Linked DNA regions of Drosophila melanogaster. The protein of the gene in region 1 interacts with the protein of each later gene in a pairwise test. Each region holds a gene or a part of one and is shown in the gene's direction. Other genes may lie near its edges.

Evidence for each region.
Region 2: the proteins of CG31820 (region 1) and CG43736 interact in a two-hybrid assay, tested with the Drosophila melanogaster proteins (one large-scale study listed by BioGRID).
Region 3: the proteins of CG31820 (region 1) and disco interact in a two-hybrid assay, tested with the Drosophila melanogaster proteins (one large-scale study listed by BioGRID).
Region 4: the proteins of CG31820 (region 1) and Idh interact in a two-hybrid assay, tested with the Drosophila melanogaster proteins (one large-scale study listed by BioGRID).

What each region holds. Positions count from the first base shown.
Region 1 is NT_033779.5:16,003,786-16,009,360, reverse strand, and holds CG31820 (uncharacterized protein), read left to right. Parts: upstream 1-3,081; 5' UTR 3,082-3,194; intron 3,195-3,245; 5' UTR 3,246-3,266; coding exon 3,267-3,455; 3' UTR 3,456-3,572; downstream 3,573-5,575. Other genes in the region: CG13245 (uncharacterized protein), read right to left, coding at 4,009-4,251; CG43816 (uncharacterized protein), read right to left, coding at 4,506-4,667.
Region 2 is NC_004354.4:6,865,319-6,873,186, forward strand, and holds the start of CG43736 (uncharacterized protein), read left to right. Parts: upstream 1-2,908; 5' UTR 2,909-3,462; intron 3,463-3,942; 5' UTR 3,943-4,071; coding exon 4,072-5,673; intron 5,674-7,397; coding exon 7,398-7,603; intron 7,604-7,868.
Region 3 is NC_004354.4:16,209,816-16,220,786, reverse strand, and holds disco (disconnected), read left to right. Parts: upstream 1-4,036; 5' UTR 4,037-4,536; intron 4,537-7,442; 5' UTR 7,443-7,508; coding exon 7,509-9,215; 3' UTR 9,216-10,189; downstream 10,190-10,971. UniProt on the Drosophila melanogaster protein: Required for the establishment of stable connections between the larval optic nerves, the Bolwig's nerves, and their target cells in the brain during embryonic development.
Region 4 is NT_037436.4:8,353,875-8,361,765, reverse strand, and holds Idh (isocitrate dehydrogenase), read left to right. Parts: upstream 1-2,825; 5' UTR 2,826-3,108; coding exon 3,109-3,210; intron 3,211-3,640; exon of another isoform or gene 3,641-3,693; coding exon 3,694-3,750; intron 3,751-3,830; coding exon 3,831-5,111; 3' UTR 5,112-5,362; downstream 5,363-7,891. Other genes in the region: Culd (CUB and LDLa domain), read left to right, coding at 5,558-5,761, 5,824-6,154, 6,218-6,622, 7,156-7,524, 7,583-7,891.

The sequences.
Region 1 (5,575 bases):
ATTTACCAAACGAAAAGCGAAGAAAAACCCAATGAAACGGCCGGGGGATGGAGCCAAAAGAAAAAGAATCACTCATACGCACCCACGCACACGAGGATTGGCGCCCGACGTTTGACGCCGCATGGCAAAAGCGCTTAGAAAAGAAATAGCATATAGTGAAAAAAAAACAAAATACAAAAAAAAAACTCTGTGCCCAGACCAACCAGGACTTACCAAAAGGCAGCCGTCCCAAGGAGTGGCGGCAGGAGTATCCTGCAGACGACAACGGTGCCAAGGAGACGACAGGCGGGAACCAGGCGGCGTTGGGTAAATAAACGAAAATATTTTGTACTTCAAATAGAAGCGAACATGCTAAAGAAATTCAGCCAGAATTTCAGCGACTATTTATGCATCGTAATGCCCTATAAAGGAATCACTAAGAATAAGACTCTGAATTGAACTAGTATTGGGTCCTATTCAATTTCGTATTTAGTATAATTTTTTAAAACTTTTAGAGAATATTCTAAATGAGCATTGCAAATATACATACAGTTAGCCAAAAGGGAAAAGTCCAATGTGGTGAGGTACATTTTTTACAGATTATCATTTTAAATATGATATAAATATTTGCTATTTATGTGCATTTTATATGTTCATAGTGTCTGCGAATAAATATTGACATTTTTGTTGCACAAATTAATATTTTTTGTCACAGTCAAATACTGTAATGCAAAATGGTCAACTATCTCCTCTTGCAAATGTTATAATATTACTATGTATATACTCCACAAAGCAGCAGGAATTCAAAAAAAAAGAAAAGAACTTTGGGCAACTTGTAATAAGCTGCACTTAAGAATAATTCCTACATATTGACAACTTCGTAGTGTAAACTTTTCAATGGTCACTTATGAGCTTTTCCCCGAAAACCGATGCTTGACAAGTTGCCTCTTTTGAGATCGGCCACAAAGGCACTTCAAATGGAGGCCCACACAAAATAGAAGAGCCATACTCAGCATGCGGTCAGCAAAAAACAAGAAACTAAAACAAAAGCACCCAGAAAGCAGTTTGAGCAGAAATTGCCCATAACGAGCACTTGACCAGGGACAAAATGTGAGATGCCAGAGTTCAGAGGAATTTCACATCTTTTGTATGCCTTTTTATTTCGGGGGCATGAGTATCGGTGGCCCGATAGCCGTGCTTCTTGTGGCAAATAAATTTAAAGTGCTCGAAGGAAAAAAGTGAAAATAACGTTGCACTTAAAGACCGCACATTTGTCTCAATGAAGGCCGTGTCACAAAAGTAACGTTAAGTTCTCCTTTTTACCTAATTTATACAGTTTACGCTGGGCGGTTGTCCAATGTCCACTGTCCCAATGTCCTGCGGCCCCTGCGATCTCCCATTTATGTCCGGATTCAGGGAGTGGAAGCCATATAATTGCGCTTATCTCTTGGCGCACACTCAAGTGGCCCGGCTCAATATGTTTTTGGAGTGAAATGAAGTGCCCATCGTATCCACTTGGAAAAGAAAAAAAAAATGAGAAAAAAAAGAGAAAAGAGGCAGGGCGGCCAAGAGGCACTGGCATTGGAATCCCGGCAGAAATTTTTGTATTTGATTTAAAAGGAAATACCTTTTTTAGTTGAAGCCTCACTTGTTTACCCTGCTGTTTTGCTTTTCCCTGGTGTTTCTCCCTTTTTGTGGTGACATTTTTATACACTGTGTGTGTGTGCAGGGGGATAAGTTTTTGGCATCCTACCAATGAGATTATCTTAAGTGGGGTGTTGTTTTTCGGTTCGAAGGAATGTGGAGGGCCCTCAATTGCAGTCTTGAAGCTGGGTTCCCTTTTTTGGTTCGTTTAGAAATGAGTTTCGCAATAGTTCTTAACTGTCTGGGGGTCTGTGGTTTTTCCTTTTCTCCAACAGCGAGCTGTTATTGGTAAATCGATGTAAATTGCTTTTTAAACAAGTTGAATGAATAAATTATAAGGCCAAATGGAATGCCAAGCGGAGGATTCATTGCCAATGTTAATAGTGAGAATTTTTGAAATTGTTATAAAATCCAGCGTTTAAGGTAAGCACAAAATTTGATAGCACAAAATATTATGAAATAAGTTTCAGTTATTATCTTTTTTTAATCTTATTGTATTTTAAAGCTAAGTATATAATAAAAACTCAAATATTTATTTATTGAAGCGTAGTTATTTGACATTTGCTGATTTGCTGATCACAACCAAAACAATTGCTTTTCATTATTCAAAATTTAAGCTGGCCGATTTAATACCATTTGAACAATTCCAATTTAGTTTAAATAAGTTACATTGTCCATTCTCTGATACAGACTTCTCATATATATGGATATATGTATATGTATATGCTGTGAGTGCATCTTTTGAAAGCCTCAAGTGTGAACACACATTATAATAAACGCCTCAATTGTTGTTCAGTCATCTGCGTAATTTATGTTTAGCTAATGTTCAGGGATCGATGAGCTTGTCAGCTTTTGTGAATCACAACGCCCGCAGACGCACACGAGGTCCTGTATATCCTATATCCTGTCCCGCACACACATGCCCTAACATTAACCCCCCGAAAACCGAAGGAAGCTGGAAAATGGCGTTAAGGTTGCTTCGTTGAGTCTAATAGACTTTCATGTCTGCCTCGACATTGCCGTTGCCCCAGTTTAGAGCGAGTCCTGTACAGAATCCTTTCGGCATCTTCCATCCCATCTCATACTGGTGTTATTCTGCCCAGAGTCGTCGTTTTTTTTTTTTTTTTAGACATGTTTCAATGATTTCTTATTTTTGCCAGAGGGGCGAATCTGTTGCGCTGCTGTTTTGTCGTTAGAGAAATTCAATTTTTTTGTATTTGTCGCTTCGATGTTAAATCATTGATGTGTGAAATTTGTGAGCTCAGCCAGGAGGAGAGCAGCATCAACAACTTGACTTTGATCGATTTTAAAGGCAGTTTCTCTAGCCCACTTTGATTTCCTTTCTGGCTTTCTAGCTGGTTTTAAATTTTTCCACATCAAGTTGGCTTCGGGAAGAATTTCCCAGGGCATGGGCTTGGTTTTCTTAGCTCAGCTCATTCCAGTCTATTTACTTGTTTTGTAAACAGCTCCGTACGCTTTCACCAGTACATAAACCAAAAGTACGAAAAAATTTCGTGTTTCAACATTTTTGGAAATCTTTACTCAAGCATTTCTCTTGCCTTAAACAAAATGTGAGTAGTCCTAATTTCCCCGAAAGATTTTCTATCGAATATCTCCTTCAGTTATAACCTATCCTCCCGAAGATGTGTTGCCAAGGAGCTTGTGGATCGGTATCCTATGCCCTGGCTTATGGCCCCGTCGGACCCGCTCTGCCAGCCATGAACTATAATAACTGCTGCTGTGGACCCAATCCTCCCTGTGGTCCCTGGACATGTCCTCCTAACAGGTGCTGTTGTGCCGGCGAATGGGGTTGCTTTGGGCCTTTTTACTGAGAAACCCAAGGTACGACAATTCCTGAAGAAAACGACGTGAAATTTTTTTGTGCTTTTGGTTTGAACCACATTTTCACTTACACAATGGTTCGAGCTTTTCAATAAATTAATGTACTTAAACAAGTAACTTCTTATTTACTATTTGTCAAATTTCTTGAGAAATTTCATATTCCATTGATACGTATATGAAAAATAAGAAAATATACCAAAATCCTAGATAGCACAATCTTACTAGGATTGAGTATCCTAAGTATACCATGAGGTATAATTCTTTCTCTAATGGTTCTTGAAATTGTATGGCTCAAATTTAATATTCCTTTAAAAAAAAATATACTAAAATTGTCGACAGTTTTACCAGGACCAGGATACCGATAGGAAAAATATGAAAATAATTAGGCGCGACAGCGTAGGTACAAGATCTCTAACTAAGGAACAAACTTACTTAGTCAGTATTAGTCCCTCAAATTTTTATTGGTTTCCCATGGAAATGGCTGGTACAAGAAGATCTACACTGATAATTTTAGTAGTATAAGACCGCATTTCCTCCTGGCGTTTATTCGTCTTCCTTTTTTTTCTGAGTACTCGCCAGTGTGCAGAGCTGCGCATCCAGTGGAGACAGGATGTGCGGAACATAGCAGTTGTTGGTGTTCTTCTTGCGGCTAGTATCTAGAACATAACACTTATCGCAAGGACCGCAGGGCGTGGGTATAAAGTCCCGACCGGTGAAACGCAGTGTTGACAAGGGAGGATTATTGCAGGCCAGGTCAAAGGAGGCACAAGCCCAGCCACCACACATGGTTAGGAAACGGATGTGGGAACTATATGGAAATGTGAATGATTAAAAATAAAATTTTTAAATAAAATTTTATAAAAGCATAAATGAAACTTACCCCGGTGAACGTTTAAGGTTGTTGTTCCGACAAGGACTGGACTGGGACTGAATGATATTTGTTTCATGGCTGACAGCCAACAGTTCCCAAGGCCTACTTCAAGATAGTTGAATTCCGGACTCTCCACCCAACTCTGTGGCTACTCCAGGTCAGAGATCACCTAGCACCCGCAGCAGCCACCGCAGCAACCGCCGTAAATGGAACAGTCATCACATGGACCGCAGGGCGTGGGTGCGAAACAGCGGCCAGAGAATCGCAGTGTCGACAGGCGGGGATTGCAGCAGGCGATATTGTAGGAGGCACAGGCCCAGCCACCACACATCTTGACTTGGTTTAGGTTTTCCGAAACGTGTGCTCTTTTTACTATTGTTTTTTTTTTTTTTGGGTGGGGTGTATAGTTATTGGCCCTGGAGCAGACACAAAATCGAGTGTTTGGTGCCGAAGTGGAAAAGGAACTGAAGTGGATTGGGTTTCCCAGGGAGCAAAGGCGATTTTTCGCTCTGACAGCTATTGACAATCTCATCGACGCCGCCCTCGGGTTAGACTACGCTTTGGATATCTGGCCTAAAATGAAAGCTGGCTAAATCGGAACGAGAGAGTGGATGGCACCCTGATGCTGAAGTGAACTACATTTTGGAAGCCCTTAGCCGGGATCTTCAATCATATATACCATATTATGGCATGTTGTGGGAATATATAAATTAAATTACTCTATTGGTGTTCTCTGTGACACAACCAATCAAGTAAGCGTTACAAAATAAAGTACGAGATTGCATACTGTTCAGAACAACTTCATAATTCTATTACTTCTACCACGAGTTTTAACTCGGACCGTTGGCGATGCAAATTTCTATCCGCCGAATAACGAACCGTGATGAAAGTTTTTGCCACTCCGGTCCATGATACTTCAATCCAACTCCTATTCATCCAGGCGGAGACAATCAATTACAATATCTCCCGACGGACCAGAGGCCATGTAAGAGGGTGTCTGCATGTGAGGATCTAGTAGACAAACCCACGCATGGTCAACTGTGCAAATGTAACTGAGAGGACATGGGTTCGACGAAGCGTGGTGGTTCTGGTTGGATATTCCTAGCGACCATACGTCGGTTTTAAATGGTACCGCAAGGCAGGATGTGTAATTGAGATGTAATTTTAATTGCAATGTTTTGGTGACAAAAATAGAGTGATGGAATAAAAGTACTTTTATAGACTTTTATAGGAAGAAAA
Region 2 (7,868 bases), on another chromosome or scaffold:
GCGGAGAAGGAGAAGAGGAGAGGAAAGCAGGGCAGAAAAAAAGTGATGTGAGTGGGAAGATTGCGGTGGAAAGTACTGCGGGTGGTGGGCGTTGCGCGCTTGGGGGGAGCCGAGGTCGAACGGATGTCCGGTCCCCATTGATTGGCCAGAGTCCCCAATGAAAGGAGCAGTGAGTGGGGTAATTTTATAGAGGCAAAGAGATACGCAGCAAATCTGCATAATTTTAAGTTTGTGTTAAGAAACTATGTAGATGGTAGAACGACTTTCCCCATTAACGTTTGGTGGCACAAATGCATTTACAAGAAAATGTTAGAGAAAATTCCTGAAGCAACTCGCACAAAAATTGTAAATAGCCATTAGTCGCTGTCAAAGCCAAGACTGTTTAAAAAGTGTTTACACATCCAGCAGTATTAACAATATTACTAACGTAATTTTGGCAAAATTTAACCGTTTCTAAGCGGTAAGATCTCTTGTTCGTTTGTATTTTTGTATATTGCCACCATACATATGTATATACATACATACATATGTACATATATATGTACAAACATCATCAAGCTCGGTAAGCCCTCCTAGTTCTACTTCTTTGTGCAGCAAATATCGGTTTTCTGTTCCCTGCGCAATCGTGAAGCTTGCCAAAATCATAGCAAACGGCAGAGCCGACCATCCGCCTACCGCCCCAATCCCCCGTTTTGAGCCACCCAACGCCCAATCCAATATTTCCCATTGATGGTTAAACGAACGGTCTACATCCACGCATGCAAACATACATACATGTGTACGCCTAGATTCATACATGCAGACAGACGCACACATGCAGGCACATGTTTAGTCGTGTTTACATAGCAAAGCGCGCACGAAACGGGGCCTTTCGTAACGCTCGCTTCTCACGCTGTCTCCCTCTTTCTCCCCTTACCCAACCCCTCGCACTTACACCCTCTCTCTCTCACTCTCGTACACTCTTCGTTCGCATCGATGGCGACTGACGATGTCGAATGCGTATGCCCACCACTACAGATGCACATTTCGCACACTTTAACCGTTGCACATAGCCTCGTACATATAGATTTATGTATGTATATGTATATACATATATATCTATGTACATAGTTAAGCATATGACTAAATACGAATACCGCACTATTAGAAGGGGGTTTACATGGCCGTAGAGAAAAAAAAAACAAAAAACATCTTCCACACAAAGTACAAGAAATACCCAAACACACTCACGCACAGCTGACTAATTAGCAAAGCAAAACACCAAAAATCAAAACCCCCACTCAAAATCAAGAGAGATGCCACGAAACAGGGAGCCCGTAGAACGAAAGAATTAAAGAAAGCCACGCACTGGAGAGTCTCGTACCGTACAAACTAAAAAGCCCGGGAGACACCTGAAACCAAAGCCGAGAGATACCAATAAACTGCAGTGCCTTCCATTGACACTCGGCTTTTGAATACCCTAAAAACTGATTGGTGTACTTACGTACATTCATATATAAATTGCGTTTCGGTTTATATTGTGTAATCCTATTACACACATAAGCATATGATTGAATGAAAACAAGTAGAACCTTTAATAGGCTACAGTTGGTTCTAAATAAATTGAAGTGGACATTGCATTAAGTAAAATACATATCACAATGTGTTTTGGCGCAACTGTACGTTTAGTTTTCGGGACCAAATAACACCTGTTTTGATCTGACTGTACTTCGCGGGACTCGTTATTAACTGGCAGTTAACTTTTTAGCCCCGTATGATGGCGGCACAATGGAATTTGACTTGGACTCTTGGACCTGGCTAATTAAATTTTTTTTTTTGGTAAATGTTTAGAGTCGGGGCGACCTTTTGGAGCTGCGCCCGTTCGTGAACTCGTGTATTCGTTTGTTCGTGTTCGTGCTCGGTCGTTCCCGGTTTTCTCTGCCTTCTGGAACGGGGCCTGTCTTGAAAGCCGCAGAGCGCGCGAATACCGAAAACTTCTTGCATTCGACGGTGCGAAAGGGACGGGGAGAGTGATGGCATGTGGGAAAGGGAGAGGGCTAGAGCGAGGAGAGGTGGCCATCGAATGCTAAGCAGGGGCCTTTGCTTTTGCTTTTGGTGCTTGCCAAAAATAGAGCCGCCCCGCCACGCCTTCGCCCACAAAGAGCACCCACCCACCCACTCCCGCACAAAAGCAACAACATCATCATCACACCACCAATACCAAAACCAATACCAATACTGTGACCCAGCCAGCTCTCTGTGAACATGTGTCAGTGTGTGTGGGTCTTGTATATAGCATAGCTTAAGCTTTCCTTGTACCGTGGTTCAAATGCCAGGGGAAAATGGCATTATTATATTCTTATAGAGAAATAATATATACAAATAAATTTGTACAACTGTATGTAAAGAGTAAACATGTAACAAGGAAACACTAATTTTAAAGTAAATTTAGCTAGTTTGCATTATTTTTTACACCATTTATATGAGTAAGCCACAAAGAAGCTTGCCTTTTTTGATCTGCTTGATTCCCAGATGGTGTTACTAAAAAATAATGCGAATTTGAGAGAAAGTTTAACAATAAAAAGTTCAAATTCGAGATACATATGTGTAGAGTATTTAAAGAACTTAATTGTGAGGTTAAATATTCAACAAATGGTAAACTTGTAATCCCATAAATTCGTATTATTTTATAAAATTTTACTTTCATACTGAATTGGCTAAGATCCCTTAATTAATTTCCATAAGTTGCTTATGTCTTAACCACTGTGGGTTGTAACTCTGCAGCTACGTTGACGTCGGCGTCGCAGCTTAGAGCTAGTCGATGAGCGGAAGGAGAGAGAGAGAGCAGGCGTTCGTCGAGGAGGGGGCTAGCCGAATAGGGTGAGAGAGAGCGATGGCAGAGTAGGAAAATGCATAAGAAGGGGGGTGGGGGCGCAAAAGGGAGACGGACAGCAGCAACAACAATTCGGCAAAATGTTCGTGGCAGCGTTGCAGCGACGCCGACTGCGCTACGGGTGTTTGTTTTTTTCTCTTTCGTGTTTTCCGTTTTTCTTTTGCGCTCTGCATCCGCTGCCGCAGTAGGCGTCGCTGCCGGCGCGCTGCGCCAGTGTGGGTGAGCGCACGGCTGTAGGTTTGTGTGTGTGCCGTACACATTTTTCAGTTGACTTCGTTGAAATAATTTTCGTAACAACGATCACACTCGTTTGTGTATTGCGAAGACGGGCGGACGTGCGTCGGCGTCGAATGCGGAACAAGCGCTAAAGCAAACTAGCGAAAAAGTGCGAATATCAAAAGAAAAGAGAACCAAACAAATTGTTTTTTTTTTTCACCACGAGCGTCGTCGCAAAAACAACAAAAAGGAATTTAATAAACCAAAAGCAAACGAGGAGAGAGAAAGCAGCAACTAAATATAACAACAAATGCATTAAATAGTTTTGTTTTTTTTTTTGCCACACTGCCAAAATGCAGTTAGCGTTTGTTTGTGTAAGTGTACCACATGCATACATAATGTATAATTTATATGCCAAAAACAACAACAGCAATAGCATTGTGTGCAAAATGTTGAAATGAGCTCGAAAAACAACAAAAATAAGTGCGCGCATTAACACACGCACACTTGCAAAGGAAAACATCTAAAAAAATTATCACGTGTGTGTGTGTGTGTGTGTGTGTGTGAGACAGCCGGTCAGTGTGACCGTTTGTGTGCCAGAAAGAGAAGGATCGAACAAGCCGGCTGTTTATTTCTTTTATAGTTCTGTTTAAATAACAAATACACTTGCCAAAAGAATTTCATTTTGATGTGTGAATAATTAAAAAAATCAGTAAGACATAATGCAGTCTTTGTTAAATATATATTGACATATATGAGCATATATATAAATACATACACAAATAACATATCAAATTGAAATGCTGGCAGTACCAATCGAACTGTCATCCTAACAAGTAAATTTTTCAATACAGCTCCTAATATAAAACCAAACCAAAAGTGTGGATATCGAAAAGTCTGGAAAAGTACGATAACGCAAGATTACATAGAGCGCGAGCAAGACAGCATTCTAGAGCAAAAGAGCGAGAGTGTGCGGAGGAGCGATGGCCAGCGAGGATGTGCAGATCACTAGCGTCATCGATGCCAATGGCCAGAGCCTACCGCTCCACGGCAACAGTTTGGGCGGTCCCCTGGGACCGCCCGTCAAGCAGGAGCGTCCCGATGACGCCGAGATCCGCGAACTAGCTGCCAAAATGAAGGAGCAGCAGAAGCAACAGGCCGCCCAGCAGGCATCCCGTCAAGCGGCCATGCAGCACTCGAATGGGGGCGCCATTGCGGCATCCTCGGCCGGTGGCAACATGCAGCCGCCGATCACAAATGGCAATGGCCAGACCAATATCATGAACTACCTATCTCGTCATCAGAAACTACCCAACGGCACCATGCAGGTGGTGCCCGCCTTGGCCTCCAATGGCCGCTCGAATGGAGCCGTCAGCGACTCCGGCTCGGACAAGAAGTCCTCCACGGGACCCTGCGACGAGGAGTCCATTCAAGGCCACTTCGGCTGGGCTCAGTTCGGCAAGGTATCCATACCGTACATCTATCGCCAATCGGAGAAGTACTGCTCCGTGCGCATGATCGAACTGAAACTGCTGGGCAAATACCTTAACTGCCTGCATCCGGATATCTACTCCAGCTGCACCTGCGTGCGCAGCTACTACATCACCGATGCGGAGGCCCGTCTCTTCATCGAGATTAATCATAAGCATTGTGACGGCGAGTTCGGTCGCGACATCTTCAACCAAAAGGATTTGGTGGTGCGTCTCAGTGACGCATCCAAGTTCTATCAGTTCCTGGATATTTGCTATAGGAAACTAGTCTCCGGCAGCAAGACGCCGTCGGAGAAGTGCGGCTTTATTCGCATCAACAAGGAGTCCGTGGTGCCCTACACTGTGCGCAACAATCAGCAGGTTGTGCCGCTCTTTTATTTTGAGGGCGAGACCGAGAATCTAAAGACCAAAGCGGAGCTGCTCAATGGCTGGGACCTGGCTTATCTAAAGTTCTGCTGCAAGGTGCAGGGCATACGCAATGAGCTCTTCTCCAGCGAGAACGTGGCCGTGATTTCGCTGACGGACATCAAAAGCTACTTCCCAAATGGCACCGAATTCGAGGACTACTGGCCCAGCAAGGTGGTTGACTCCAATCTGCTCATTGGCAATCGGGCCAATGTCAACAACTCGGTCAATTGGACCCGTCAACCCTCGGCGCCGCCTCCAAAAGTGACCACCTCCGTTTCCGGATCGTCCGGCCCTTCCTCCTCCAGCGGCGGCAACATGGGCCAGAACACATCAGCCGCATCATCCTCCGCGAACACCGCTGGTGGCCAACAGGTGACCTCAAAATCTCAGCAACAGCACGCTGCCTCTGCCGCCGCAGCAGCGGCGACGGCGCATCAACAGCATCTGATGAAGCAACGCGCCGCCGCAGCAGCAGCTGCCGCCGGCGCCAATGGTGTGGCGAATGCGGCAAATAGTTTTGGGGCAGCCGCGGTAGCGGCCTTCAATTCCCAGGCGGCGGCAGCGGCGTCGATGCTCCAGCAGTCGCAGGGCAACAACAGGATGTTATCGCAGGCCACCGTCCAGGCTTTGGCCAGCAGCGGATGGATGTCCGGACAGACAAACCTGCAGCTCCACGCCCAGATGATGGTGAGTTGAGCACTAGGCTAGCTAACGTTTTCCTCCAATTAATGCACAATGTTTATCAAACTTTGGGATATCAAAGCTATTAGCAAAGTTTGAGAAGTAATGCCCAATCGTAATCTGGAATATAATATCAACGTTGCTATGGTATCATTTATTATACCCCAGCTACTGAACAATATTATAGATACAAGATTCTTTACACTCAACCGAATTATCGTTTTTCAAGCCTTATCTAGAAATTCGAGCCTACTTTAGAGTAATGCGAGTCGGTGTTTATGCAATGTTTGTGATATACATTAATCCAGCTCATTTGTGAATTGGCATTTTATTTTATTTCGTAAAATTGTAAATGGATACTTATTTATCACTAAGAGCTACTATTTTATACTAGAATCCTTCGGCTCAAAATCGAAATGAATGACATTTCCGGTACTTAATTGGTTTAACAAATTGTCTACCACTCCATACATTAGTAATGTCACACCCAATGTTAAATTACTTCTATTTTAATGGTATAGTATATTATAAAGTTCAAAAATGAACTGCTTAGAATGGCATTTAAAACTAGTTATTTGACTACCATTGATATAGAAAATCCAGGCCCGACTTTGGTGGAGACCAGTTCGAAAAAGGTGGAAATGGGATGTATTGGGGGTATTTTGGATGTATATGTGTGCGTACGGAGGGATTTCTCTAGAGAGTGCATGGCCGTGTTTTGTTGGCCTTGCTTGTAATGATACACAAACTTACATATGCTAGGCAGTACATATGTACATCGTACACATATATAAATCGCTGTTTGTGTTAGCGTGCTTTTTTTTTCTAGCTGATTTTTTCGCAGTTTGGCAACAGCGCAGCAGCAGCGTTCGACGGCATCAAAAACTAGGTCACCAGTATAGTGTGCATAGGAGAGTGGCTCCATCTCCCTCTATGCCCATCCCCATCTCTTTCCCCCCACTGGTGCCCTCTCTTCCCTCTTTGGGATGTGCATATGAGTGTGTGTGTGTGTGTGTGTGTGCTGGCCACAACCTGTTGATGTTGCTGCTGTTGTTGCTGCCACTACAGTCGAACTTCTATAAAGTAAACTTCCTTTCTCACGAAAGAAAGATGTTTGTTTTACAAACATTTCACCATAAATTAATTATAAATTCATAAATTTATAATTAATTAAAATTCATGTGTGTTTGAAATATTCTTAATATATCTAGAACTTGAGGAATTTGTTGTGACCTTCAAAATTAAAATCGGCCTCTAACACATAAAACGTAAACAAAAAAAAAAAAGAAATACAAGCCGTCTAGATACTCGCTATGCGTAATGGCAATCTTATCAAATCGGAGACCTAAAAACGTAGTTCTAATCGCCTACGAAATCGTTCACATAGCACAAAAAGTCTTTAAGCGTCTAATAGTCGCAATTTATTAATCGATTGTTGTTGCTGAACTAATTTGCAGTGCCAATAACTTCCGCCTTCTTTGCATTCATAATTGTTAATTATGCACAACAATTCGCCATAATTGCACACATGGTAAAGTAGGTCATCACAACGATTAACTAGTGGGTTATATTAAATTAACAAATCAAGAGCAAAAAGGATGTAAACATGTAGTTCCATTGAGTTAGTTTACTTTAGTTTAGTTTTTCAAAAATGTCAACCCTTTTTCAAGTGTTCTTCATAGCGAGTTTTTTCCTAATTCTCTTCTGCCTTCCTATCTTTTTTTTTTTAGGCGCAGCAAACGCATGCGAACGCCAATCGCGTGGGAAGCTATCGGGAGCACATGAACAACCTGATGATGAGCGGCAGCAGCCGGCAGCCGTATTCCTACAACAACCCCGCGATCTCCATGTCCTCGGTGAACAACCATAGTGGTGGCGGCGGGAATGCCCCACCTCCGCTCGTCCGCTCGGCGGCAGGTCAAAATGCCAACCACATGTAAGTGGAACGATTGTTTTAAATCTTTTCCTTCCCACACCGCCCTCCCCCCACTACTATCCTTTGAAAATTCCAAAAAAAAAAATTAAAAATTTAACAAAAAAAAAAAATTGATCATTTCGATTCTATATTTGATTTTGCCTTTCCTTATGACTATTTATATTAATTACATTTAGTACGTTGATTTTATTTAAAATCTCGAATATAAATGCGCAGAAATTGTGTTTTTCAAATTTTGTTGTAATTCGTTTTTGCCAATATCAAG
Region 3 (10,971 bases), on another chromosome or scaffold:
TGCACTTATACATTTTTAAAAAATTTCCATAAAATAAAATATATTGGGTTAAGCAGAAAAGTATAGAAAGATACGAGTATTAACAGAATAAATGTTTTTGGTTGCAGTTAACAAATTTCGTGGGTTAAATCAGTTAAAGTTAGGTCAAGCAACTATAGAGATAAAATGTTACTATGCAAATCGACATTTTAAAAATATTTATTTATTGTATATGCTTGCAAGCAAAATGAAGAGCAATTCAACATATTTATATTCAAAAATGTAAGATGGTAACGATCATTCAATTTCATATTGTTTTTCTTTCAAACAGTTAGAGGTGCAATTAATTTAAAAGGATGGATCTCAAAAAACAGACCCACAATTTACAGATGAGCTCTATATATTTACAATCATTATTTATAATGCCCCTACTTTTTCGGTTACCAAGGATAATTATATTAAGTGTGCAAGGTTGATTCGTTTCGAAAATCCTTCACTCGACAAACAACCATTTGGTGATCTAACTTGCCTACCATATACATAACTGATGAACAGTTGCTTGAGTTTTCCCGGATAAATCGTCCAAAACTAATGAGCTGTCCTGTCTTTTCTTTATTTTTGGTTGGGAGCTTGGGGGCGTGGAGGCAAACTGATCTGAAAAAATGTAATTAAATGTGAGATGTTGTGACGCCTTTGTTTGAACTGAAGAGAGCAAAGCCAGCGAACTGGATAACTTCCCATGGCCTTTTGCAGTTCCATATGAGTATCAATGCTCGGATACTCAGGTTGATATTTAGCTTGGGTTTCTGGTTCGGGCTCAGGGCGTTATTTTTTTATTTTTTTTTTTTTTGTGTGGGTAAAAAGAGTATAGCTGGGGTATCGGAATCGAAATCGATGCAGGGTCAAAAATTATTAATGGATTTTTAATATCATTTGTGTCAGCGTAAATCGTATTTAAAGAAATCAGAGGAAAGAGAACCGAAACAAAAAATCTGAAACGATTTATTGACCTGAAGTCAAGTACGCGGCGAGAAAGAGATGAGATGTACGAATATATATATATATATATACATATAGTCGTTGGATCTTTGTAATCCACAGGGCCTCCACTTGATGGTTCGATCTGGATGGGTATGGGTATGGGTATGGGAATGAGGATAGAGGATAGAGGACGGAGAATGGTAATGGTAATCGTAATGGCAATGGGATGGAGAATGAGAACCTGGACGACAAAGTGTGAAAAATGATTGATCGATTTCGTCTCGGATCTCGGACCTCGATTACGTTTCGATTTTGGTGTTCGTGCACAAAGGGTGCCGTGCTATTCCCGTGTTAATAAAGAACTTTGTGCCCGATTCCGATTCAGTATCTTGTTCTTGACTTTAGCCCGGTGACAGTGGATCTGTGGGACTCTGAAGTCCCTGAATTTTGATTCCAGCGGCGACAGCAACGACAATCGACATAATAAGATAGCAATTATTTATCAAATCTGGCAGGGGGCCGAAATAAATCGAAAGAAACGAGCATTTATTTCTCCAAATTTTTGATTAATGAAACCATTTCGCTACACAATAGAAGAGAAAGGAAAAACGAAAGTGTTGACTAGCACTGTCCAACATGAAAAAAAAAAAAATGGGGGGGCGACATCGAGATGACCCCAGAGAAGATATTTCCATTCGTTCCAAACAATATTAAAAAAAAAACCTTCGAGGATTGACTTTTCACCTTCGAACTCACATCAATCAATTCACAAAGGCCAGTTGGCGGCGCCGAATTGAAAAGTGACACTCAGCAATGGGGAATCGATTATAAAGGCACTCCACACATTAATATTATCAGATATTATTCTCAAATCAAGCAATTTGAGGACACCTTGTTGAATAGAATCGAGGCAGCATAAAGGTTGCTGCACTTGTCACTTAAATTGATGGTACATTCTGTAAAAACTTCGTTGAAAAATGATTTTCACAACACATCTAATTATAATCATTAATTTTCACATCACATTTTAAAGTGGAATTATGGTGCTTTTAAGTTTCAGATAAATCTGTTTATCTGAAAGAATTATAGTTTGGGTTTGGAGGATTTATTCCCACCTTCAGATTAAAAATTGAAGTAAACATAGTTTTTAGGAAAACAACAGTGAATAAATTGTGTTATTTATATATTTAGAACAATTAATGTTTCTGCAAAGGTACTTGCGATTACGCGATTACGAAAGCTAAATAAGAAACAACTAATTGAATGAGTGATGCATTGTATTTGAGAAGCCTTAAAGCTTAAAGCTTTAGGTTAACAAGAAACTGATTTGGGTTTGGTTTATAAGTAGTAAGTAAACTTACTTGAATGAATTTTAGTTAGAACCTTATATACCATTTAAACGTATGGTATGATATGTAATACTTAAAGATATTGAATGTTAAGAGAGTGCTTTTTATTAAGTCCTGACCATTTCCTGGAAGTCCAACATTGATGCTAACGCCTTGTGGGTATGCAACATAATAATGCGGTCCTTATTGTTATATTTTTTTATGGTGATTAATGCAAATAGGATTTGTTCCGTACGGTTTTTTTTCGCTTTAAGAACTTTTCTCGGACACTTGTGTGGATAAATTGAAGAACAAATGTGGCCAAATATGTATGTGTGCTTTTGTATCCTTATGTGGGACATTCCGGCGTCTAGCAAATACATACATATACTGTGTGGGAGTGTGGGTGAGAATTATTTTAATTCGGCAATGAAAAGGACAATGAAACGACAAGGAGCTGTGTATATGTGTGTAGGTGCTGCTATCACATAAGGCACTTACATACCGAAGCTGTGCAATTTACATAAGTTATACATGCATACATATGTACATACATATATAGTGGTGGTGGGGGCGGTCATGGTGATAGGATCGTTGAGGGACTGCGGTAGGGGTGTGGGGTGGAAAGAGGAAGCAGCAGCGTCGCTTCTTTGTCACCAGTGCTCGAATTCCATTGGTGCTGTGTGGCGACAGGGAAAAAAAATCGAAGCGAATCGCCCCCATTGCCAAAGTGTCACCCATACACAGATACACCTATACAGCGACATTCGCACCCACACACACACCCATACAGATGCACAGCGCAATCGCAAAACAAAGAGAGCCGCTCAACGCGGCCATTCGTGCGGGTGCGATAGGGACGGCGAGAGGGCACAGCACCGAGTGGACAAGACATCAAATGACAAAAATTTCAAAAGAACCTTCGTGAAGAGAAGCAGAGAGGAGAAGCCCAAGACAAAAAGTGACGTCGCAGCAGCGACAAATTACGTACTGTGTACTGTATACTGTGGCCATTGCCATTTCACTCTCGTTGCTCTCTCCCTCTTGCGCTCTTGTGCTCCGGCTCCCTCTCTCTCGCTCTGTCACACTATAGTGCCCGGCCATGTACTCACACCATCGAACCCAAGGCACCCATACCAGCAAGCGGCGAGAGCGAGCGCTGCGTTCTCTTTGGCTGGCGGCAGTGCGTGTGAATGTGTGTGCCGCACTGACCACACACACACACGTCGCATGTCGCATGTGTCAACCCAACGAAACGGTTTCGTCCACTCAGACGACAGTGTGCGAGCGGGCGCGAGATAGCCGCACGAGCGTGCCAAGCCGCTCGCACGCACGGGACGGCGCTCTTTCGCGGCGTGAGTAAGAGAGTGGTGGCTACTCTTGCCTCGCACTGCTTTGCCGACTGGGCGAGCGGGATGGACTCAAGTGCGGGCGGATCTCTCGCTCGCACTCGGGCGAGTGCCTAATGACCCATCGACGACAATGTGACGAAGGCCAATTCCAATAGCGCGCTCTCTCACACTCTTCCAGGTGCAAGAGCGAAAGAGTGAAAGAGAGAGGGCGCAAGAGCGAGCGGGAGAGCGAGCGAGAGAGAGCCAAATGTCACCCACCCCGCGTGTGCGTGTGTGTTTGTGTCAGTCAGTCGGTGTGTCGGTGTCGGTGTCGCCGCATTTGTCGCTCGCTCTCTGCCCGCTGCGCTGCCGGCGTCGCAGTCGCCGCACAAATTCGTTGGTGAAACGACAAATCGACAATCAGTGTCACCCACGACATTCGAAGAAGTGGATCTCTGCTGTCCCTGCTCTCCGCACATCCGCATCTTCGTCGCTACTTCGTTTGCCACTCCGCATATTCACATATTCGCATCCGCATATTCGCGTCCAGTCCACTCTTCTCTCTGCCGCGCGACCCAGTGCATAAGTGTGCGTGCATACGAGCGTGTGTGTGTGTGTGTGTGTGTCATCGTCAACTGTGAACGACCAACTTTTTTAATATCTCAGCAAAATGCAACAAAAATAAATGCACCACGGGCATGAAAACAACAACAGCACACAGCTCCAACAGTGAATTCTACCATCTGAATTTATCAACTTTTTACGCAACAAAATATCAAAACAAAACAAAGCGAAAGAAACCCTTTTTTTAAATCTCAAACCTGTGACAAAGTGAGAAAATCTAAAACAAAAAAAAAAAACAGCAATAAACCAAAATACAATAAAATATCTACAACTCGCTGCTAAATTAGCAAAAGGTATGTATAGTTCGAGTAAAGTTGATTTGCCGTCGGCACTTCAAGCAAAGAATTCAAATTCAAGTGAAGTCATAGTGAATATTTTTCGAGATCAGAGGAGTATTTTCTAAAAAGAAATCCTGGTGCCATAAAAATATTACCCATTCAAGAATTGTGTTATGAAATAGGAACGCAACAATAGGATTCTTTTCGTGGTAAATAATGATCTTGTTAGGATCACATAGGCTGCTAGTGGCATTAATATGGTATTACCATTTTCATGGGATCTCTGGTGATGTGCTGCCATCTTTTACCTCTAGTCTATGGATTTTCTTATAATATCCTGACTTTGCTAAATTGAAAACAGCTTGTTAATCCAATGTTCGTAAACCCATTTTTGTCTATTTGCTGCGTGAGCTTCGACGACAAAAAAGTGATGTCTTCGGGGGAAACGCCAAATGTCAAAGTTGTAATTAAGATTTTTGTCTGCGGTTTTCGAGCTCTGTTTTTCTCGTTGATGTCCGGACCATCGGCGTTGTCATCTTTGGACCATCGCATGCCCCTTGCATGCCCCTTGTGCCCATCGACTCCTGCTTATTATAATGTACTACTATTAACAGCAACTACAACAGCAATTATAGCCGCCGGATTGCTCACATCTCGGCATCTTCCATCCCCAACTGCCACACACCGTACTCCACAGATCTTGGATCTACCATCTACCATCTAAAGCGTCTCCCAACTCTCGGAATTCTTCAATCTTGTCGTTTCTTGTCTTGGGTACTTTCAACATTTTGCTGCCTTTGCCACTGCCGATAATCAAAAAACGTTTCGTCCGAGAGCCATCAAAAGTTGTGATTGGTTTTTCCCCTACCCCCAGCTGCCCAACATCACCCCCCCTTTCACCATCGGTGGCTTAAGACATTTTAAGCGTTTGACAAAAATAATTACCCATGTACATGCATACTCACCTCGATCTGTCGACCGCGTGCACTGAGAGAAAATAGAGAGGTTGTTATTGTTTTCCGTTGCGCCTTATTGTGCTATGCAAGATTGTTATGATGCTTAGATCTTGAATTGTTTTATATTGAAATGTTAAAAGATCTATATTTTTTTTTGAGTTGAATCTCTTTTTTAAAAGATTCTTGGAAGATAAAAAGGTATAGGCACCTTCAACTCATATGATATAGTTAACTTATAATGATCTAGAAAATTATTGCAACATCTTTGGGTCATTCTCTATTTCTTGAATGGTAACAATATTTTCGGCACCTAGTCAGAAACTGATTACTTCCAAGTACCTGACAATTAAGTTTTTTTTCCCCCCTTTTTGCTCTTCTTTTTTTTTTCTTGCGCTTTCGCATTTTCGCCGTGTGTACATACACTCATTTTAATGCTATTGTTGTCATCGTTACTAATGAGCCCCATAAAAAGCGACCATCTCCTGGCTTCCTGCAACTGTGTGCGTGTTACCTGTATGCCTGTATGTGTGAGCCATAGTCGTATGTGGTTTTCGGCTTAACTTTTTAGCTGGCATTGGGCAAGCGAATGCGAATGTGTGTTCGACTTTTGAGATCGAATCCAGATAGCCAGCCACGACATCGCACACACGATCATCACCATCGTCATCCGCATCTCACCGCAATTGTCCCCAGTTTTGTGACGCCCCTGGGTTCGGTTCACTTCTTTTTTTTTTTTTTTACCCCTGATTTGTTTCTGTTTTTAACGTCAAGTCGACTGCTCACAATTACGGTAGCGAACGGAGTCCACAATAAAAAAAATGAGCTAGCTCTGGCTTTAGCTTTGCTTTTGGTTTTGGTTTTGGCTTTAACTCCGACCGATCGGATCCAAAGTCGAAGTCCGACACTGATCGCCGCATGTTGTCGTCGCCGTCGACGTTGTCAGAGGCGATTTTAATGGCCAGAAGAACCGAAAAAGCTGTAAAAGATTTCGCTCGAGTAAATGAGGCAATGTGCACTTACACAAGTAATGCGCCAGTGTTAGTGTACAGTGGGCCTTGGCTACGACAGAAATTGGGTGCATAGGAACCAAAATGATAAAGATTAAACAAATGATGTAGCGTCAGTCACTGGGATACCCCTTTTGATTATTTCAAAATACAAAACATGGCAACTCTAGTTGTTCTACTGTACTATCGGCTCGACATGAAAGATATGCCGCCATCGGTGTCGCCGATATAAATGTTCGCTTGTCTGAGTTATTGTAAGCAGTGTGTGTCTTACCAATAAATCTAGCTGGATTTGCACAAAGTTGGCTAAGCTCCTTGGAAGCTTTCACTTGGGAATTTCGGTAATACACTTGAGATATGACTTTAGAGCGCTTTCCAATGCTATAGATTAGTGCTTTTGGCGTGGCAATGCAGTCATATGTACATATACATTCGCCTCAGATATTAATCTATATCTTAAGGATATCGAATATTAATTAATGAAAAAGCCATTTGAACAGCAATGGGGTTTTTTTTTTTTTGAAGCACACAGCTGGCAGCCTTAAAGACTTTCTTTTAAATCTGGATTTCAGAATGTATCTTACAGCAATGACCAACTAATCGCTGTAATCCACTGATTAATTGAGACCCCCCCCCAAAATAAAGTTTTCTCCCCTTGACTTATTCGACCGTCTTGACTTTTCGCACTCTAATTGCGCATCAATGACCACTGCCCAATGTCCCAGGTCCAGGAGTCAATGTCCATGTCCCCGGCACCACAGACCATTCAACAATTTGCCCTGCTGACTCTCGGCGATAAGGTTGATTCCAGTTTCCCAGTTGTAGTTGCGCAATCGGATTTGCCCCGCAACCCTGGCAATAGTTTTCGATTAGGACTGACCGATTCACTGACTTCCTGATTGACACTCCCTGATTGACACTCCTAACGATTCGTTTCTGTTTCTTGTTTGTTTTCCAGGCACCACCAGTCATCGCCATCGCCATCGCCAGCGCGACCATAGAAACAAAATCCACCACAGACGACATGGAGCACATAATGAATCCGTTCATGTCACCGGCTTATCTGCTGGGCCATGGCCCACATTCCCACCAGCATGTGCACTCCCATCTACCGTCACACCCGCAGCCAAATGCCGCCTCTCCGGCCAGCTCACCCGGCGGATCCAGTGGCTCTGGATCGGGATCGGCAGCGGGATCGGGCACTGGATCAGGTTCATCCTTAAAGCCTCGTCGCTGGGGCTCACCGCCCATCAATCTGGCCGGTCAGTTTATCAATCCAGCCACGGGAAAGAAACGAGTACAGTGCTCCATTTGCTTCAAGACCTTCTGCGACAAGGGCGCCCTTAAGATTCACTTTTCGGCCGTGCATCTTCGCGAGATGCACAAGTGCACGGTGGAGGGCTGCAATATGGTGTTCAGTTCGAGGCGTTCGAGGAATCGCCATAGCGCCAATCCGAATCCCAAACTCCATTCGCCACACATCCGGCGCAAGATCTCGCCGCACGATGGCCGCACTGCCCAGCAGTTTCCGGTTTTCTCGCCCGGAACAGCCGCAGCAGCGGCCGCTGTCGCCGGACGACTTCCGGTTGCCTTTCCCGGACTTCTGCCACCGCCGCCGCCGCATCATGGTCACCATCCGTACGTCATGTTCGGCGGACAGGCGGGTCTACATGGCTTGGGCCTGCTTTCCACCGGCTGTCAGGATCCCGATTCTGGATCGGTGGACAATGAACAGGATGCTGATCCCGAAGATGACAACGACTTTGTGTACGTGGACATGCAGGCCAATAGCTCTAGTCCGGCGGCCTCCAGCGAGGATCAGGAGGAACACGAACGGGATAATGAGCAGGATGAGGAGATGCACTGCAGCTTGAGCCTGGCCAGCAGTAGTAGCATTGCCGCCGATGAGGAGCGGGCAGCTGACCAGCCATTGGATTTCAGCCTTCACAAGCGTCGCAAGTCGGAGCAGGATCGGGAACAGGAGCAGGAGCAGGAGCAGGAACGGGAGCGGGAGGCGGAAAAGGAGCAGGAACAGGATGTGGAATCCGACAAGGAGCACGAACCCGAACAGGAGCATGAGCTGGAGCGTGAGAAGCGCTCGCCCAGCGATGCCTTCTCCATGGATCAGTTGCTGGGCAAGCGTAAGCGTCACGACAGCACCGCCTCCAGCTCCGCCTGTTCCACGGCAGCCGCCTCCTCCGCCTCTAGTTCCTCCGCCAGCGCTAGCGCCAATCCACCACAGACGAGCATCAAAATGGATCTGGACCCGGATAGCGACAGTGCCTACATGACCAGCCGGCGGCAAATGCTCCCACTGCCCGTTCTGGACCTCGAGGAGCATCATCATCTGCGCCTGCTGCAGACCCAGATGTTTGCCGCCGCAGCGGCTGCCGCTGCCACCAGCCAGGCACCGCCCACCGCCTTCCTGCCGGCGGGATCACCCGTGGATCTGGCCAAGGACTCGCCGCCCATGTGGAGTCTCCTCTCCGAAATGTACCGCTCCATGCTGCTGAAGACACAGCACCAGCAATACAACCACCATCACCAGCTGCAGCAGCAACACCAGCAGGAGCAGCATCATCATCTGACCCTGAGCCACCACCATCAGGAGCAGCACCATCATCTGGGTCATCACCACATGGGTCACCACCACCATCATCACCATCAGCACCACCAACAGCAGCCGCAACAGCAATCGCCGGCGGCCACGAATGCGCCGATTTCCGTCTAATGTCCAGACTGCTGATCCATGGCGATGATTTCTAGATGATTTCCTTAGTCAAATTTGTTTTTATATTTTTTTTTTGTGTGTGAATCGTATTTTAAGAAGAATACATTTGGTGGCGTGCTGCATTACACAAAAAGGTGGAGCTTCAGGTGGTGGGGCTGTGCCACAGCTTGACCATTAAATGGCTGGCACTCCTCCTCAGGCGCGACCCCGCAACACCCGCAACCAATGCCACTAAGTACCCCACCCCCCCCTCTGAAAACTGGAATTGCTCCGAAACTAAGCTTTTTCTGCTCGTACATGTGTTATATGGATTTTTTTTTTTTTTGGAAACCTATGTATAATGTATAATGTATACTGTAGTGCGACATCTAAGTGTATAGTATTCAATCCGTTCCTCAGTGTGAATGTGCAGATGCATGAATGAGAGTGTGTGTGTGTGTGTGTGTGGGATCCCAGGATCGGATCCAAAAAAAAAAAAAAATTAAAGTCTGTCATCTGAAAAGCGGGCTGGGCAGTGCAGAAGCGGGGATTTTGGAACGGGTTCCGTTTCCCTGCCCCCTCTATCGGTGTACAACGAAGTATTGATATTTATAACGAAATATATATTATGAATGGCATATATTAAATAGTTTTAAGACAATTTTTTTCGTAGCCAATAAAACTATATTGTATTGTATAACTTGGATGTACTAACACAGCAAGCAAATTCTATTGAAACATATCCCCCCCGTGTGTTAAAAAAATAAAAAACCAGAAGAGATTCAATTCAACCAATCCCTAAAGAAAAAAAATAAACCCAAAAAAAAAAAAACAAAATTATAAAAATCCATCGCAAAGGTTGATAGATCGTAGGTGAACGAAAATGTTATTGCTATCGCAAACGAAAATTCCTCCCGACGATTGTGTACTGTATTACAACAAGATTTTAAGTTTTTTATTAACAAATAAACAACGGCAAAATTGAAGAAACATGTAATCAAAGATGCTTTTTTTTATTGGTTCTCTGGGCGGATACATAATTTTCATGTTTTCACTATGAAAATAGAGCATATGTACTTTATGTGAATAATATAGATGAGTCATCGATTTTATGCGGATTTTGTTTTTCCATTCGAAAGATATAAAGTCCAGTGGAAAATATCTACAAAAAATTGCTATTTTCGTTAAATGCCATTTAATTCAGATATATTACTGCCCACCTTAAATCATTTAGTAATGTTTTTACGTAAATAGACCGATGTGCGTAACTCATTTGGATCACAATCACAAGTCAAGCTAGCTCTTCTCGCCTGCGAAAAGCACACGTACATATTTGCTTGTCTCAACGAATCCAGATTCAAATGTATATAGTATTGGTCTGATGAGATCTATAATGGGCAACGCCCTCGAAATGGTCTGTCCCTCCCGTTTGCACAAATGAGTATCCGAAATGCCGACGGACACTCACAAGAAGGCGTGACATGCGGCATAAATTGGTTTTCGGCTCCGCAACTATAGCATAGCATACCATACCGAAACCATACTTTACGGTTCCGAACCATACCATACCATACCAAACCAAACCATACCATGCCATACCATACCATGCCATACCATACCATATTCCTATACTCCATCCAATACTTGTACATATCGTACTCCCCCCGCGAATCGTCGTGATGAATGACCAACTATTGGTCGCAGCGGCAACCACATCATCATCATCATTATGGATAGGCATTTGAGGCCACTTATGGACGGATTACACACTCAGGCG
Region 4 (7,891 bases), on another chromosome or scaffold:
TTACCTGAGAGGATGGGCCAAAACCGAATATGTTATTTAATGCATTGGCATGCACAAATTAAGACACGTTATAATTGGGGGTTATATAAGCGAGCATAAACGGCGCTTATCTAATGCCACACGGCAAAAGCAAAGAAAGCGTCGCAATTAGACGAGTTTTCTAGCCAGTTTTTGTCAAATAATAGGCCCAAGATCGAGTGATTTTCATGCATGTTCGGTTGGCTGTCGCCGCATTTGATGTTTTCCATGATGTTTGAAAATGCTTATCGGGTGCGGTCCCTAATGAGATGGGTAACTATTTATCTAGGGGGGAAAATAAAATATGTAATTTTGCGCGATAAGAATAACAACGGAACATGTTAATGAGCATTTTCTTGTTTCGTCATTCAATAACTAATTCAATGATTTTATTATCATTACTGAATATCCCACATTCCTTTCAACTGTCCAAACTATGCGAAAGAACGTAGCATTCGCGTCTTAATGGCAGCACACTTTCGCATATTAAAGGCGGTCACAACAAAAGATGGCAATTTTAAATTTTTTTTGCATATTTAAGACCAGTTAAACGGCGCCGGCTAACATTTCACTTTTGGAGCACATTTTATGGATTTTCTTTTAGCGTCATTAAAGCAAACGAACGCACGCTGCTCTCACAAGTTGCGGTAATTGAGAATTCAAATTTTATGTTTGGCGGTTCAGCAAGACGAACTAATACTGAGTGCTGCAGAACTCGAGAGTAAAGCTTAAAGTTCGTGAGAAAGCTCTTCGCAAGCAGCTGATTGAATAACATGTTTTTATCTACGGAATTATCTTCCACACGCGCCACCTCTTGCTCTTTATTGTTGTCGTCGCCAAATCAGTTTCAGTTATTCGCTGCGTCTGATTGGGAGTGGTTCGAGATCTTTCGGTCTGCAATTTAATTAGTCTGTGCTCTAACATTCTAAATTCGGCATTTTAAATATTCTAAAAGGTAAGTGGAGCATTTGTTTAGCCTTATATAAACCGGTTCACACTCCACGCCAAACACCCACACTTCCGATCGCATTCCGCCCAGCTATTTACTGCACTCAAAGGCTGACTTGCAATTTATCTGAGCAAATAAAAAATGGTGGATTTCCAGATCGGTTGCAATACGTAAATTTGCCGCAATTCAAGCCTCCTTAATGCAAATAAGTTGCGCATTTTAACTTTATGCATAACCTCTGGCCCAACCTATTTGGGCCCGAACTTTCCCCACCGGTCTGTTTTCATATGCATTTTATTTGTCTGCCGCTGTTTTGTTTTTTTCTTTGCACCGGTTTGCCTCCTCGAAAAAGAGAGATACGGATAAAAAAAGTGTGAAGAGACGACAGTGTGAAAGAGGGGGATATATGTGGAGAGAGAGAGACACGTAACCCATTCGACAGGCCTTTTCACATCCACCTGATTCTCCAGGTGCTGTCCAAAGTTTAATCTTGAATTCGTGTCGACAGTTTTAATTAAACCTATACAATTACTATGCATATCTACAAATAGATGGTTCGAGAAAACCTCCAGATAGCTCGTATCTCATTGGGACTTTTGCATGCACAATTTGGAAATGTTTTTAACTTTCTAAGTTTGTCCTATGTTTTGAGTGCTTAAACAACTTAAACAGTCGACGTTTATTTTTTTCATTTATCAAACTAGAAGTCAGATCTGAATACAATTAATTACTATAATTAGATTATCGTAAACTTATATTTGATAAGGATAGATGGACTCTTTTATTAACTTGTCAGTCGAAAAATTAAAACCATAATTTTATTAGGTTTTCTTTTTTATTTCTAGCGAATTTTGTATTAACAGTTTCATAAAGTTCAAGGGTCAAAAGTCATCATGCAATCTTTTTATTTCAACAATAAATATTTCTGGGACTAGAAAAACACCAGATGAGAAAATATCAGATTAGATCTAGATAATTTATTCGCCCCGTCATTACCAGCTTATTTACCAATCGCAAGTCTTATCAATATCGTACTATGTTCGAATTCTCCCAGTTGGACTAGAAAAAAAAACGCTTGTGAAATTCGTTTGGTGAAAGCATAAATATTGTTATTATATATAATTGTGGGCGTGGCCTCAGCTTATGGCGTGTTCGGCGATCGCGCCACCTCAATATGTTAATTAGGTACACATGTACCTATAAAGACTTAGAGATATTTATATTAAAGTCAGACAATGGATCTATTAAATATGAGAAGAAAAATCCAAAAAAACATCACGCAATTGCTATTTTAATTTGGAAGTAAATGGCATTGACTGAGTAGATAAGAATGGTAGACGTTTCAAGATAATCAGAGCGAGCCTCCTTCGCAACAAAAAAAAAAAAAGATTGGCGCCCAAGTTCAAATATTATCTAAGCTTTAACATGTCAGTTCGACTATCGTTATCGATAGTACCGCACGTACCAGCTGATTTTGAATTCGGGTGAAGTTGAATAAATAAGCTTAATGCCACGCGCTTTTCTAATTTGTATTCCTTATCAAAACAAGTCGGCCGTGAACTTTAAATAAAAGTGGCTAGCCCGCAATAGTGGAAAAGTTTTTCGCCAGCTGATAAACGCAACAGTTGTCATTCGGAAGAGAGGGACAATGCCACCCGCAATGCGAAAGCGATTGACAAGTCAGCCGGCGATAACGATTACATGTTTACGCGTTCGCCGAGTGCTTATTGTTTTTTATACTCTCGTTACATTATTAATTAAAACACTTGCTTTTAAGTGTGCCGAGTGTTGTGAGAGCAGCTTATCAAAGTCCGAGGTTCTAAATCTTATCTGACTGGGCATTTAGAACGTTGTGATTACGCCGATTGCGCAACAATTTGACGATTGTACGCCACCCAAGAGAGTCGGAAACTGTAGCGCTTAACGGCACTTTACAGTTATCAGTTACGGTTAGAGCGCGTCTGACGCCCACAGCATTTAATTTTGCTTTGTCCGAAAATTGTTCTCTTTCCCGGGACTCCAGTGTCATATTGTCTCGTATTGTTTCACATTGGTGACAAACACTATCGTCTCTCGTTTCCAGTCGTCGGTCGGTTCATTCATAATAATAATACCCACATCCACACCAATCCGGTTGTAAAATGTTCGCCCTGCGCCGCACAGCCGCAATGATGACGTCGGTCCACCGGCAGCCGCATCTCAGCCAGGCCGTTTTTCGGGCCAATTTCGCCATCAGCGCCGCGGTAGGTCCTCCTTGTATCCTCGCCCTCTGTCGCTCTAAATCTCTTTGCTTACTAAATTTCGGAATAGGGTGGGTCGATGAGCAGGAGAAAAAGATATTTTGAATTTTTTGAAGTCGGTCTCAATATTAAGATTATAAACAATCACGTAGTCACCTGTGCTGCTAGCATCCGATAAATAGGATTACTATATTTACTGTTTATACAAAAAAATTGAACAATTTTTTCTTAAATTTATAACCTATGAATGCAAAGTAGAGATATTAACTTTTAGGCAAGTACCTTAATAATTACGTCGTCACGACGAAATATTAAATATTACAAAGTAAAGATAAGGGATTACTTTTGAAACACGGTGTATTTTAATTTCCATCCATCAATATCGACCCACCCTATCCCAGGCTGATCAAAGTTTACTTTGCTTTGACCAGTTGTCAGTTTATTATCGTCATACATATAAGTTTCGCCTGTATCGCCTGTGCTTAGGACCCCAAAACCCATAAGATATCCATGGATAATGAAAGGATGTCCGCCGTGAGCGAGGTGAATACCCCAATACCGCAGCATTCAGACACAAATCCATTTTTCATGTAGCTAATAAGATTCCCATCCTGCCCTTCAAGCACTCAAGTGTGGTATGCTCTCCCGAACAGATGGCCCAGAAGATCAAAGCCGGTCCCGTTGTGGATGTCCTCGGTGACGAGATGACCCGCATCATTTGGGACTCCATTAAGAGCCAACTGATTCTGCCCTTCCTGGACATTGAGCTGCATACCTACGATCTTGGTATTGAGAACCGCGATAAAACCGAGGACCAGGTCACCATTGACTGTGCTGAGGCCATCAAGAAGTACAACGTGGGCATCAAGTGCGCCACAATCACTCCCGACGAGAAGCGCGTAGAGGAGTTCAACCTGAAGAAGATGTGGAAGTCGCCCAACGGTACCATCCGTAACATCTTGGGAGGAACCGTCTTCCGTGAGGCAATCATCTGCAAGAACGTGCCCCGTCTGGTGACTGGCTGGCAGAAGCCTATTGTGATCGGTCGCCATGCCCACGCCGATCAGTACAAGGCCGTCGACTACGTGGTTCCCGGACCCGGCAAGCTGACCCTCACCTGGAAGGGAACCGACGGTCAGGTGATCGATGAGGTCATTAATGACTTCAAGGGCCCCGGTATTGCCCTGGGAATGTTCAACACGGACGATTCCATTGTGGACTTTGCCCACGCCTCTTTCAAATATGCTCTGGACCGCAAGCTGCCGCTGTACATGAGCACCAAGAACACCATTCTGAAGAAGTACGATGGACGCTTCAAGGACATATTCGAGGACCTGTACAACAAGCAGTACAAGAAGGAGTACGAGGCGGCGGGCATCTGGTATGAACACCGTCTCATCGACGATATGGTTGCTTATGCCATGAAGTCGGAGGGTGGCTTCGTGTGGGCCTGCAAGAACTACGACGGTGATGTGCAGTCGGACTCCGTTGCCCAGGGCTACGGATCTCTGGGTCTGATGACCTCCGTGCTGCTATGCCCCGATGGCAAGACCGTGGAGGCTGAAGCCGCTCACGGAACGGTGACGCGTCACTTCCGCTTCTACCAGCAGGGCAAGGAGACCTCCACCAACCCCATTGCCTCGATATTCGCCTGGACCCGTGGCCTGCTGCATCGTGCCAAGCTGGACAACAATGAGCCACTGAAGCAGTTCGCCGACACCCTTGAGCAGGTGTGCATCGACACAATTGAGAGCGGCGCCATGACCAAGGATCTGGCCATCTGCATTAAAGGCAACATCAACGCCGTTACTCGCAGGGACTACCAGGAGACTTTTGAGTTCATTAACACGCTGGCCAAGAACCTGGAGGGTGCCCTGGCCAAGAATGCCGTTGCTGCCAAATGACTATCCGGCACTCAGTCCGAGCAGCAGGCCTCGCATCTCTAGAAAACTACTCAGCGATGCCTTGTCCTCGTCACCATATTCACAATATTTCCATTCGTTTTTGTAGATGTGCATGTCCTAGGCTAAAAATCCGTGTCCTCGATGCATGTTTCCCACTGTTTCATTGTCTCTGCGAGACGCAAAAAAAAACCCTGATTTCCCTTTAACGTCTAACGGAAAAGAAATTTCAAATAAATGTATTTTTATACCGGACTCGAGAGGTCTTTAACCCAGTCGAGGGTGGGCTCGTTACGAGGCCCGGTCCACTTGTGCGGCTTCTGATGGCTCTGGGTTTATTGGATTTGCCAGCGAAATGGCCACAGTTGTGTTCTAACACTTGGCGGCACCAGACCGAGACGGTTCAAGCGGAAGGGGCTCAGGATCCTGTTAGAAGGACGAAACTATCGATGCTAGCCGAAGCATTGGGCTATGGCTACCTGCTGGCCTACGTGATCTGCCTGCTCTGCTGGCCAGGAGAGGCGTATCCCGCCAGCAGTAGCTACCGGGATCTGGATATATGCAATCATTGGGACGGAAGACGTCACTTCCTGGAACTGGGAAGTCCAGCTGGAGAGGTGCACGCCAGGAATGTGACTACTACTGCCTATAGAGTAAGTGTATTTACAAGCTTCTCCAGACGGGATTTGGTCAGCAATTATGAACTTAAAAACAGAGCTCGCCGCTGGTTTTTAAGAACGATGCAGTGGCCGGGGATGTGTGGTACCAGTGCAGCCTGGAGCTGGTCACCTGTGCCGAGTGCGTCATCCGAGTGGCCTTCACCTATGCCAACTTCTCCAAAAGTTGCGGCAATACGGGTGGCAAGTCCAGCATGTGTCCCTGCGAGCATATCCAGTTCTCGGAGCCGCCCTATGATTCCACCATTTCCGGCCAAGAGTTCTGTGGAGATGGCAAGGTGTTTCGGAGCAAAACCAGGACACTGCAGTTGAAATTCTTCTACAGAGCCAGCAATGCGCACGTGTTCTCCCTTCAATACTTCTCGGAACGTAAGATTTAGAATCAGTTGGTAGGTTTTTAAGAATGCTCTATCCGGATTTCCCTCGGAATAGGCAACGTGCGGATAGTCAGTGGCTCCCCCAAGCAGTCTATTGTGGGCAATGGGAGTACAAAGTCCCAGCCACAAGTGATCTCCACGCCGTATTTCCCGATGGCATATCCACGCGACTATGGTATCGAACACATCCTCACCTGCGAGGCGGACAACTGCCAGGTGCGTTTGGATTTTACCGACTTCCAGCTGGGCCTCACCTCCACCCTAGAGATCTTCGACTCCAATGGCCAGATGCTGGACTCCTATACGGGTGAGCACTTCCGTCCGCCGATCACGGTGAGCAGCGGCAAGTCTCTGCTCCTGCAGTTTCGAGGAAATTCCGCCACCGGAGTGGGTTTTCGCGCGGAGGTTAGCTTCGTATCCTCCAAGCAGCTCAAGGACGAGCGACTGGTGCCCTACACAGGTAAGTGAATGGGTTGCAGTGCACTGAACAAAAACTAAGACTATCAAACAACTCAGATCTAAGGTTAAAACACAAATATTCCGCAGGATTAAAAAATTCGAGGTTTTTAAAAGTATAGAACATTATGCTTATCTTCATTTTAGAACTCGCAGATTGATTAACTTTTTAAATGGATTAGTATATCTTTTCTCTGTAGGAATAGGGACATTTTAATGATTTTCGGATTAGTCGAGCACTTGAAAGTCTGCAGGCAATTGTCATATTGATTTTGGCGAAGGTAGTGGGTGGGGTGGGCACTTGGCGAATATCAATGTCAATGCAAGGCGTTGAAGTGGAAACTGGGTGACTCTGGTTGGGTTCGGTTTGGTAAGACAATCGATTTCTTGGATCATTGCCCGTAGGGTGGTTGGCAAATACTTGTATATAATCCGGAATGGGGTTGGTTATGCACTATTGCGACAGGTTGGATCACAATGCATGATGCAAGAGCACATAAATAAATGCTTATGTACATATCTCTATTACACCTCTAGATTGCGGGGGAATGGTTACCGGACCTGGTGGCGCCATCACCATGATGAACATGATCGAAAATGCCACGGACGTGCGGCTGTTTGACTGCATCTGGATTATAAAGCCCGGCAACAACTACATGATGATGAAAACCCACATCTCGTTGAGAGTGGATGACTTCTACGGCATGGCCGCCAGATCTGAGCTCACAATACGGCAGGGCACCACCTCGGATGCCGTGGAGATCGAGAATGTGATGTGGCCGAACAATGGGCTGAGCAAGGAGAGTCATGTGGCGCCCATCCTCAATGGCTACTACATTCGACTGCGTGGGGTATTCGGGATGTCCTCCAAGCTGGCCATCGTCTACAGCGTGTTCAACTACTTGAGTGAGTTCGATTGGAAAATTTAAATTTAATGTTTAATTAACCAATTCGAATTGCTTAGATTGCTATATTGGCTCGGAGTTTCTGTGCGGGAACAATCACTGCATATCCATTCGCCTCCACTGCGATGGCTTCGACCATTGTGGGGATGGCAGCGATGAGCCGGATTCCTGCGAGGAGGACTGGGCACACCTGCATCACGATCGTCGCTGGTACTCTCACAAGCCCAACTATTATTTCCCCAAGATAGACCAGTATCCAGATCTTAAGACGGCCACGGGAATCTTTATCATCAGCACACTTGGCATATTTGGTGTGCTGTCCGGCTGGATGGTGATCCTGTACAGGATGGGGGTTAGAGCACGACACC